2 linked regions of the Danio rerio genome follow. The protein of the gene in region 1 interacts with the protein of each later gene in a pairwise test. Links are inferred from orthologs where the notes say so. Each region holds a gene or a part of one and is shown in the gene's direction. Other genes may lie near its edges.

Region 1 (5,886 bases):
GTTTGGCAAAAGCCAGTGCTATTCAAAGCTGGACCAATATTTTTGCAAAGTTGCTGAAAAAGCATAAAAGCTGATATTTTCTATCTTATACAGTAAATCTGATTTCTAGTTAATTTGATTATTTATTGATATTTTTTTGTACAAGTAGACGGTTTCATGGCATCTACTTATATATTTGATATATATTTGTATGTATATGTATTATGTATATATTTTTAATATGTTTCATGTTTATTATGTTTCATAATTTGAATAAATTATTGATCTTAAAAATTAAAAACAGAAGAGAAATTGGTTGAAATTGAAATAACCTAAAACCTTTAAACAGTTTCGAAATTTAATTTGATTGCAAAAATATTCACTTTCATTTTAAGAAAAAAGTTTAATGCTTTAATGTTTTGTCAAAATGTGATAAACTGTTGAAAGCAAAATTATAAGTAATCATTTGAAATTTTTATTCTTTTCCAAATATCTCAGCAGTGATGTTTATAAAAAAACAGCTTAGGTCAAAATGATTAGCCCTCTTAAGAATTTTCTTTTTAACTACAAAAACCCCTGTTATCCAATGACTTACAAAATTAACCTAGTTAAGGCTTTAAATTGCTCTTTAAATATTATGTATTGTCATCATGGCAAAGACAAAAGATATGAGTTGCTAGAAGTTGTTTATTAAAATGTTTTTAAAACATCTCAGCAGGGAAATATTTGTAAAATAATTCAAATGAAAATTTAATCAGTTCCAAAAGTGTGTGAGATGTGGGGAAAATGCTAAATTTAATTGACCACAGTTGCTTGAAGCTAACATAACTTCATAGATAATTTAGCAAACATTATTAACCGCCACTCCATACACATGTACAAAATAACTCAAAATCTTTAAAAAAAAAACTTGAAAAATTGTAAATAACTAGTAGTTTATTTGCTAAAACTATGCAGATTTTAGACAATTTTTATGCATCCCTTACAGGTCAGAATGGATTTCATTGCATTATAATGGTTAATAATAAAATTTGTTCATCTCTTAACTCTTATACTACATATGTTTTTGTTTCCTTCACTGAACATGTGTTTTATATTGTGACTAATTGAAACTACTGCTGTCTGATTTTCAGGTCGGATACGGTCAGCTTCCATTCGATCTTACTGACAGCTTCCCGAGTTATCCTGACATCTGCTTCCGGGTGGAGGGTTATGACTTCCTATGTCATAAGGTCACTATTTATTAATACTTATAATCATAATCCCTGCCTGTGTATGCTTGAACAGCATTATGGCTCTCTAAAACAATGTTCTAATATCCATCTATTACTCAGAATTAGTTATGAGAATGATGCTGCTTTAATATTGTATTAGTGGTTTTGATTAAAATTGATTGTGTATGTGTGTGTGTTGCAGGCGTTTTTCTGTGGCCGCAGTGATTATTTTAAGGCTCTGTTGGAGGATCATTTCAGCGAGGGAGAAACTCTACAGACTCATCCCAGTATTCCTGTCATCACGCTTCATGATGTGTCCCATGATTTGTTTACAAGAATCCTTTATTACATTTATAGTGACAACACTCAGGTACACAAACACACACACACTTACAGTTACAGACACTGGGCTCTATTTTAATGATCTAGGCGCAAAGTCTAAAGCGCATGGTGTAAAAGCATTAGTGGATGTATAAATGTACTTTTGCTATTTTAAGGGTGGAAAAATACAGTTTGCACCCCAGCGCATGGTCTAACAGGGCTGTGCTTATTCTCTTAATCAGTTATTGGTGTGTTTTGAGCGTAACAAGCTTTACTAGCGAGAAAACAGTTAAACAGTGCATCTGCAGCATGAGGATAAAGAACGAGCCTCCTCCATTTAGCCTCTTACTATCTCTTTACTCCTTTACTTTCATGGAGTAAGGAAATGGTGTTGTACGCACTCCACTGAAGACATCCATTAGCCTACCTATTTAATTTAGCTTGTTAAATTCAAAGGTTTGTTTCAAAACTATTTCTAAAGTCAGTTCTAATTTACAGCAAACAAATAAATGAGCAATAATAACGAAGTGAGGTCAAACAACTGAGTTATACCCAAACACACGTCTTGTTATTATATGGTGATCATATGTGTCATGATTACCAGCAATCTAACCACCAGAGATCGCTGGTAAACATTCATTCTCACATAAACTACAAATCTGCCATGTTATGGACTACAACACCCAGTCATGCCATACACACACAACCGGTTCCAGACTGATTACATACTCACAGCTGAAGCTGCTCACACTGATTATTTGGACTATTTAAACCCATCTGTTCCACACACATGTGCTGAGTATTTTTTAGCTGTTGCTGTCTGTATGTACGTGTTTTTCTTTGTTTCCTGTTTGCTGTGTAATCAGTCTGGATCTGGAACCGGTTGTGTGTGCGAGTGGCATGACTGGGTGTTGTAGTCCATAACATGGCAGATTTGTAGTTCATGTGAGAATGAATGTTTGCCAGCCATCTCTGGTGGTTAGATCGCTGGTAATCATGACAATATGTCTCCAAAACCTGATAGGAGGACAAATCTAAGCTTGTTTTTTATTCAAACAAATATAAATCGGCATATAATAAGTAATACTACTAATAATAATAATAACATTATACAAATGCAGATTGTCGTGAATAAACTAAAAAAAGTTCACCCCCCAAGGTGAAGAAGGCATGGAGGCAGTTGCTTTTATATTTTATTTATTTATATTTTTATTTATTTATATTTATATTTATAAATAAGAATATATATATATGTATATTTTTAGAAAATAATCGTTTTTGTAACATTTTAATCCTTTAATTATTTTTTTTATTTGTAAAGATATTTGTGTATTGCTGTACATCCTGTGTGTATTAAGCAATGTGTAAGTGTTTGGACCTGCATAGACTCTGCACTGGACTTTAGACCTGGGGTCCGTTTTTCGTACGTGGATTACTCAGTTAGCTGGATTTTGATATTGACGATTTGACCCGATCCAGTATCGTTTCGTTCTTCAAAACTCATCTGAGACTTGTTGTCATAGCAACAGATCTGGTAGCTTAAACCTACTTGGGAGCGGGTTCATTTCATATAAACAGGAATAGTTTGGGTCAGTTCAAGTAAAGAAAATACTGAAAGTACTAAATGCTGATATTTTCTTACAGTAGTTATATTCATTCATTCATTCATTCATTCATTTTCTTATCGGCTTAGTCCCTTTATTAATCCGGGGTCGCCACAGCAGAATGAACCGCCAACTTATCCAGCACGTTTTTATGCAGCGGATGCCTTTCCAGCCGCATCCCATCTCTGGGAAACATTCATAAACACTCATTCACCCACACACTCATACACTATGGACAATTTAGCCCACCCAATTTACCTATACCGCATGTCTTTGGACTGTGGGGGAAACCGGAGCACCCGGAGGAAACCCACGCGAACACTGGGAGAACATGCAAACTCCACACAGAAATGTCAACTGAGCCGAGGATCGAACCAGCGACCCAGCGGCCTTCTTGCTGTGAGGCGACAGCACTACCTACTGCGCCACTGCTTCGACATAGTTATATTCACTTAGGAAAAAAGTAAATATATATTTTTAACTATATATATATATATATATATATATATATATATATATATATATATATATATATATATATATATATATATATATGAATAAAACGTATGCAATCTGCACTCTGAAATAAAAGTAAAACATTGCCACCTAGTGGTTCAAAGAGAAAATGTATTAAAATGTACTTTTTAGATACAAATGTCTACATGCTTTACAATATTTGACTTATTTAAAAAATGTATGCAGTCATGCATGAGTTTTGACCGCTAATATGCAGGTGATTTGATGCTTTGCAAAAGTTGCAGGCACCTTTACTGATATCAAAATGCTTTTTTGATGCAAAAATAATAATATAGTTATTCCTGTCACCTATTAAAAAAATTGAGTAGGCCTAGGCTACTATAATAAAGAAAATCTTCTCTAAATGTAGGACTAAATAGATTGATTTGCATTGAAATACATGATGAATACTCTTCTTGACACATGAAAGTGTAAAGCCTGCAGCTCAGAACAAATGTGGAGAGTTATTGCGTGTCATATTTAACAAATTGCTTACTGCTAATTTTATGTAATTTTGCTCACATGTATAATTAAATATGAATCAGATGATGTCATTACGCTGATGTGCCGATGGATCTGTCCTTCAACACACGCAGCGATCTTAGATCAGTTCATCCAGACATTTTAATCTGATTGGCGATCTTGTTTGAAGAACCAAGTTAGCCAGAGATCAGTTATCAAGATGAACAGGTACGAAGAACAGACCCCAGGTTTTGCTTGGTCAATGGCGCAGTCTATTTCAGTTCTTGAAAATGGCAACACGCCAGCAATGTGCCTTAACACACTATCTTTCTAGACCAGCACACACAAGTCCAAAAGTGGCACAAATGGATTTGCTATTTAAACAACGTGGTGCAAAAATTGACAGTTGCGCTGGTCTGAAAATAGCAACAAATCACGCCTTATTGCGCCGGGTGTCTGAAAGGGCCCTATGATAAACACTATATTTCTCAGTGTTGTTATCAGAAGGACATAAATGAACTATTAGCAGAAATTAGCAGAAATGTGGGAAAGTAAATAACTCTCCAGCATTAAAATATATATATTTTTTATGAATGTTGAGATAAAAGTGAAGTGAAATGTGTTCAATAAAATACATTGCTTGATTTAAAATATTAATACTTCATTTTAATAGCAGTACTGTATCATATTTTAATAAAATAAATATATTATTATATTATTGTTATTATATTTATGATACTAAAATATACATTACATTAGCTAAAACAAACAAGCATATGATAATTTACATTGATAAATTTCTATCCATACTTTTGTCAGTTAGGATATATTTAGATTTTTAAACTTCAAATATTTTCCAAATGGTGTTTAACATAGCAAAGAAATTTTTCACAGTATTCCCTATAATATTTTTTTCTTCTGGAGAAAGTCTTGTTTGTTTTATTTCGGCTAGAATGAAAGCAGTTTTTCTTTTTTTTTCTTTTTTCTTTTTTTTCGGCTAGAATGAAAGCAGTTGTTCATTTTAAAGACCACTTTAAGGTTGATATAATTAGCCCCTTAAGCAATATAAATTTTTTTCGACTGTCTACAGAACAAACCATCATTATACAATGACGTCACTTAGTTAAGCCTTTAAATATCAATCTATCTAGTGAAATATTATGTACTGGCATCATTGCAAAGATAAAATAAATCAGTTATTAGGGATGAGTTATTAAACTATAATGTTTTTATTTTTAACAAAATCTCACCGTTAAACAGAAATTGGGGAAAAATATATACAGGGGGCAAATAACTAAGGAGGGCTAATCATTCTAACATCAGCTGCATGCTGGGGTATGAATTATAGAAGTGGTTGATTTAAAATGAATGGTGCTTTAAAAGTGTGTGAATCTGCTGTTCATGAAAGCGTGGGAACCTGTGTATTTGTGTTTTTCAGCTGTCTCATGAGAATGTGTATGAGGTGTTGTGTGTGGCCGACATGTACCTGCTGCCGGGTTTGAAGCGTCTGTGTGGCCGAACTCTGGCGGCGCTGCTCAATGAGGAGAACGTGCTGCACATGTGGAGAACAGCCAAACTCTTCCGACTGTCCCGTCTGGAGGACCAGTGCACTGAACACATGGCCAAGATCATCGAGAGGGTACTGCACACACAATGCACATCACTATCATTATATGCATGTATATATATATATATATATAGGTGAACTAACCATTTAAATATTGCAGCAGTCATATTATAATTTGTATTTTTAGTGTGATTGAGCTCAGAAATAAAAGTCCTGTTTGTTT
Region 2 (5,886 bases), on another chromosome or scaffold:
ATATATGTGTATATATATATATTATATTATATTTTTTTATACTATCCACTGCATGTGATTTGAGAAATATGCAGGGTAGAGAAATGCACCGAGTTTGGTTGTTTAAATTCAAATTATACAGCAAGATTTTTTTTTTCAATTACAATTAAGTACCATATTTAAGGATAATTTATTTCCATGAATTCCTGTTATTTCCCACATTTATTCCTGCTAATTCTCATACAAAGTGTACAGCCTTGAACTCCAACAGTCTTCCAGCCTATTCCTGCCATATCTGGGTGCATTCACAGGTTTGGTTTAATAAAGTTAAGTTGTTGTGATAATTCTGTTAGTCCGGTTAGTATGATCAAGTCAAAGCGATGCCATTCATAATTCTTGTAGTCACCAAACAAGTGGACTAGGACCAGTAAAAAAGATTGGTCTCTGTTTATTTTGAAATAAACCCGGTTGTGATTGGACTGCAATATAAAATCAATATAAAGTAGAAGTTAAATCTAAACAAATTAAAACAAATTCTAAAAAAATGTAAAAGATGTTGCTATTTCTTTGTTTTGCGAGACAGAGGAATTCCTGGGGTCTGTTCTTCGTTCGTGATTTACTCTGTTAGCTGGATTTGGTTATTGACAATTTGACATGATCCAGGATTGGTTATGTATTACAAACTGATCCGAGAGTTGTTGTCATAACAGTTCTGGTAGCTTAAACTTGGTCGGAAGCAGGTTCAATCCATATAAACAGAATTAGATCAGCTCAGTTCAAGCAAAGATAATACAGAAAGTACCGATATCTGATATTTATATATATATATATATATATATATATATATATATATATATATATATATATATATATATATATATATATATATATAAAATGCAATCTGCACCAACGAAATGAAAGTACAAAGACTGCAAAGACAAAACCGATTGATATGAACTTTTTACATCGCTTTAGTACAATCTGTGTATGATAATAGAAATGCACAGTATGTGACTTTTTTTAAAAGCAATAATACATTTATGCAGTCATAAACATGTTTTGACAGCTAATATGACAGTGATTTGATGCTTCATAAAAGTTGCTGACGCCTTTACCAATACCAAAATGTTTTTGTAAACATCCAGGTATTCTTTACACCAATTAAAAAACTGGCTACTGTAATACTACTATGATAAGGAAAATCCGCTCTAACTGTAAAACTAAATAAACTGCTCTTGATGCATGAAAGGGCCAAGCATGCAGCCCACAACAAGGTGTAAAGTTATTGCATATCATATTTAACAAACCGAATTTTATGTAATTTAGCTCACATGGATAATTGGATATTAATCAGATGATGTCATTTTGCCTCTGTGCCATCAGCCAATCGTTGCATAGCTGATCATGATTTCGAGGATCGATAGATCAGTCCTTAACAACACACACAGCGATCTCAGATCAGTCCAACCTGACATTCTAATCTGATTCACAAACTTGTTTGAAGAACCAAATTAGCCAGAAATCAGTTATCAAGATGAACAGATCCATGATCAGTAAAAATCATCTTAGATCATTTAAGCGGGCTACGAAGAACAGACCCCTGGTGAGCTTTTGACTCCTTTACGACAGTTTTCTCAAGTTCTCAATGCCTTAAAAGTATATTCTTTTTGTTATGTTTAATTTCATTTTTACAAATGATAGTGTGAATGGTAACCGAACAAGGATTAAATGTATCATGATTTTCTTCCCCAATTTTCTTAGTCCAAACCAAGAATACAATACTACAAGTGAACATACCCTAATACTGAATGTTTAAGTTTATGTTTGTGGGCCTGTTTACACCTGGTTATGTATTACATTTTCTCTGATTGGACAGTATCTTTTTTTGTGAAAATGGTTTCATTTACGTTTGGCCACATAAATGTGTCTCTGCTGATTAAATATGCAGTTGAAATCAGAATTAGTAGCCCCCCCTGATTTATTAGCCCCTGTTTATTTTTTCCCCAATTTCTGTTTAATGGAGAGAAGATTTTTTTGAGTACATTTCTAAACACAATAGTTTTAATAACTCATCTGTAATAACTGATTAATATTTATCTTTAGCCCCTTTTACACATACAGACCTTTCCGTAAAATTACCGACAATTTTCCGGAAAGGTTGTATGTGTGAACAGGTCCTTTTTGAAAATACCGGTAAATTCGTTCTGACTATTTTCCGGAAAGAGAAGTTGTAATTTGCCGGAATGCAGCGCTGTGTAATTGCAGAAGGAAGATTGCCGGAAAGAGCATGTGCACATCTAGAACGTGCTGACGTGAGACGTCTGCTTTAACCAATCCGAACAGTGAGACGCATTCATGTTTGCGCGGTTTATGAGAATAAAAGCCTTTGAATATTTTCCACGACGCATTTAGCTGCTATAAGTTAGTTAGATAACGTTTATATGTTCTTCTTAATGCCAACTGTGTAAATAATCATCGATAAGATGCTTATGATAAACCATTGTTTGTTTACCTTCAAGCTTAGCGTGTGCTCGTGAAACAGCCGTGAACGCCAGCACACACATATTATGAACATCTCGACATGCGAAAGTGATCCTCCATATGTCTTCATCAAAGTTGTTCACAATACTGATCATCCACAGAGTTTGTAATGTAGTCAAATGTTTACAAATACAAGCGCAGGCGTTTAAAGCTCATTTGTGGGGAATGATGTCAGAATTTACCGGTATTTTGGAATGGATGTGTGAACGGTGTTTTCTGGAAAAATTCCGTAACGCCTCGCCTGTGTGAACAGCGCTTTTTTGGAATTTACCGGTAAAGTTGTTCCGAAAATTATCCAGATATTTACCAGTATCACTGTGTGAAAGGCGCTTTTGCCATGATGACAGTAAACAATATTTTGCTAGATATTTTTCAAAACACTTCTATACAGCCTAAAGGGCAATTTAAAGGCTTAACTAGGTTAATTAGGTTAACTAGGCAGGTTAGAGTAATTAGGCAAATTATTGTATAACGATGGTTTGTTCTGTTCACTGTCAAAGAAAAAAATAGCGTAAACGGGTTAACATTTTTGACCTTAAAATGGCTTTTAAAAAATTAAACAGTACTTTTATTCTAGCCCAATTAAAGCAAAAAAATAAGACTTACTCCATAAGTAAAAACAAGATCAAACATACAGTGAAAATTTCCTTGCTCTGTTAAACATAATTTGGGAAATATTTAAAAAAGAAAGAAAAATTCAAAGGGGGGCTAATAATTCTGACTAACTGTAAATCAGAATTTCAAATCCTGCACTATGCAAACTTAACTAGGCAAGTTACTTAAACTAAAGCATCAGATACACCACATTTAATTTATTTATCATTATTTGTTACAGAAAAGCTAAATACAGAGCTCCAGCAGTGCATGGAATTTTGTCTATAGCACACAGTAAAAACTGCTGGGTTTCACAATTGATTTGTGTTGCGACAATATGAAGGAATTAAGTTAACTTAATTCCTTTAAGAAAATTAGTTTTTACTAATTTAAGTGGATTTAACATAATACACTTAGGTTGTCCCAGTAAAATTTAAAGAAATTGTTGTTTCAAGGTATTTTAAATAAGTAGTTTGAACAAAGTTTTGAGTATATATTTTTAAAAACAAAATGTTTACGATCATGATACTTTTAAACTCCATTTTATTTGTTTTTTTTTTCATTCTTATTCTAATTCATTCTAACTGGCAGTCAGTTCCGTCAACCGCAATCACCGGATCGTACCTGTTAAGTAAGGCAAACATGTCAGGATAATATATATTTTTGAGTTTTGGCTTTAAAATTACCACATCAGAGACTGGGTTTTAAAAAGTAGATGAAATACAAACTAAATGTAGAGTTCGTAAAACTATTATTAAGCCATCAAATATGGGAGAGGGAGCAGTTCGAAGCTATTTTATTTATTTTCTTAAAAACAGAAGTAAATTATTTATTGTTGTTCTCATAGTGGCTATTAAACTCCTTCAAAAGGATTTTCAAGCTAAACATTTTTAAACTTATGCAAAGCACAACAGCATTCTGATTTTTCCTTCATTATAAATCATGGAAATTAAGCTTTTTAGTCAGGGAAAAATGTGGGAATTTGATATCTAAAATACCCTGTATATGTCTTATTTGGCATACGAATGATTTCGTAATGTATGTAGGCTATTTGTACGTGTGTTTATGCTCTCACATGTTTATTCATGTATTTTTTTACATTTTGGAAGAAGGAAGATACCACTACATTGCCAGAGATGGGTTGCGGCTGGAAGGGCATCTGCTGCGTAAAAACTTGCTTGATAAGTTGGCGGTTTATTCCGCTGTGGCGACCCCGGATTAATAAAGAGACCAAGTCGACAAGAAAATGAAATGAAATGAAGCCACTACCACTACATGTGATTTCAACAACCAGATGCATTTAGACCTCCACAGTTTCATCTGGAAGCAGTCCCAGACCACCTCCTGAAGTGGTTTTAGCGTTTAGATTAAAATACTTCTTAAATGACTTTCTGCGGGCATGCCCATTTCATAATCAGATAGCTATATAAAATTATGAAGTGACCAGGTGTAAACAGCCTCTATATGTACTAATGTTATTTGCCTTACTTTTGCCTTTTTTTTGCAGACAGAAGAAAGCACCTCTTACTGTTCTCTCTTGCCGCCCCGAGTCAACATGGGGAAAGAGAAGATCCACATCAACATTGTGGTGATCGGCCATGTTGATTCTGGGAAATCAACCACCACTGGGCATCTCATCTACAAATGTGGAGGAATTGATAAAAGAACCATTGAGAAGTTTGAGAAAGAGGCAGCTGAGGTAGGTAAATATGATTTTTGGCTGAGTTTCTATGAGTTCACTTGCATCTTCCATTTTGAATTCGAGTGACCTCATCATTGGTATTGTAAATTTTCTTAATGCGTTCTGAGAATCGTGGTCTCTATTAAAGTATGGGTAATTTCAACCCACTTACAGTGTGGCATATTTGTGTAAGTCTCATTGCGCACCACACTACACCTTCATCTCCGCTCATGAACTGGAGAGTAATTACATTGAGACATTTACTCTTAGGAAGATGCCATATTGGAGATGAAAGGAAAGATAAATGGATTTCTAGAATAGACTGAACCATTAGTCGGGCCCTGCACTTCTGTCTCCTTGACCTTCTCTAAACTGGGAAACAGAGACCCAAGTGAATAAGTCTAATCCCAATGGGTCTTGCAGCTCTGTCTTTGAGGGTAGCTTGTTCTTCATGTAGCAAAATTGTGGTAAAACAGTGTAAAAACAAGGCTCTTGGGGCTGTTGGGTTAGGTACTTCAGTAACTTGGATGAAACATTATTTTTATTTGCATATGTAAATGTGTGTAAATGTATATATTTTTCAGTTTTTTATATTAAGGTCAGTTGTCTTATTGAATATTATTCAGATGTTTAAACAATGTATGTACAATACAATTTTTAAAGTAATATTTTAAGCCTTTTAGTGGAAGTACAGCTGCTGTAGTTTTGTTTATCAAATAAGTGGTTCTAATTGGACTTGCATTGTAAACCAGTAATAAAGGCCCTGTCTGTGTCTTTAGGTTAGACTTAAAAATTGCAAGCAGTTGCGTCTGAATAGTTCTGAACTCTTCAGAACAGTGCCCACCAAGAAAGGTTGCCTATCTATGATATACAAGAAACTTAGCCAGAGAAGGACTATGTTGGATTGCTGTTAAGCAATTCGTAAACATGGGATATGGATGAAGTTGCACAAGGTATACTATTTTGGGATTTGATCTTACATGCTTTCAATCTGAAAACTGTTTTCAGATAATTTGTTTAGTCTCCAAACTAATTTTCGGGTGACAAAATAATTGTTTTAGTTAAGAAGAGATTAATTCTAAAGATTTACA

Evidence for each region.
Region 2: the proteins of abtb1 (region 1) and eef1a2 interact in binary tests that used the Homo sapiens proteins (3 or more experiments, as listed by UniProt). The two-hybrid records come from large-scale screens. The link is inferred for Danio rerio from reciprocal best matches to the Homo sapiens genes ABTB1 and EEF1A2.

Annotation. Positions count from the first base shown.
Region 1 is NC_133183.1:8,648,722-8,654,607, forward strand, and holds part of abtb1 (ankyrin repeat and BTB/POZ domain-containing protein 1), read left to right. Parts: intron 1-1,112; coding exon 1,113-1,211; intron 1,212-1,395; coding exon 1,396-1,563; intron 1,564-5,534; coding exon 5,535-5,735; intron 5,736-5,886. UniProt on the Homo sapiens protein: May act as a mediator of the PTEN growth-suppressive signaling pathway. May play a role in developmental processes.
Region 2 is NC_133198.1:17,397,919-17,403,804, reverse strand, and holds part of eef1a2 (elongation factor 1-alpha 2), read left to right. Parts: intron 1-4,621; 5' UTR 4,622-4,669; coding exon 4,670-4,813; exon of another isoform or gene 4,814-4,817; intron 4,818-5,886. UniProt on the Homo sapiens protein: Translation elongation factor that catalyzes the GTP-dependent binding of aminoacyl-tRNA (aa-tRNA) to the A-site of ribosomes during the elongation phase of protein synthesis.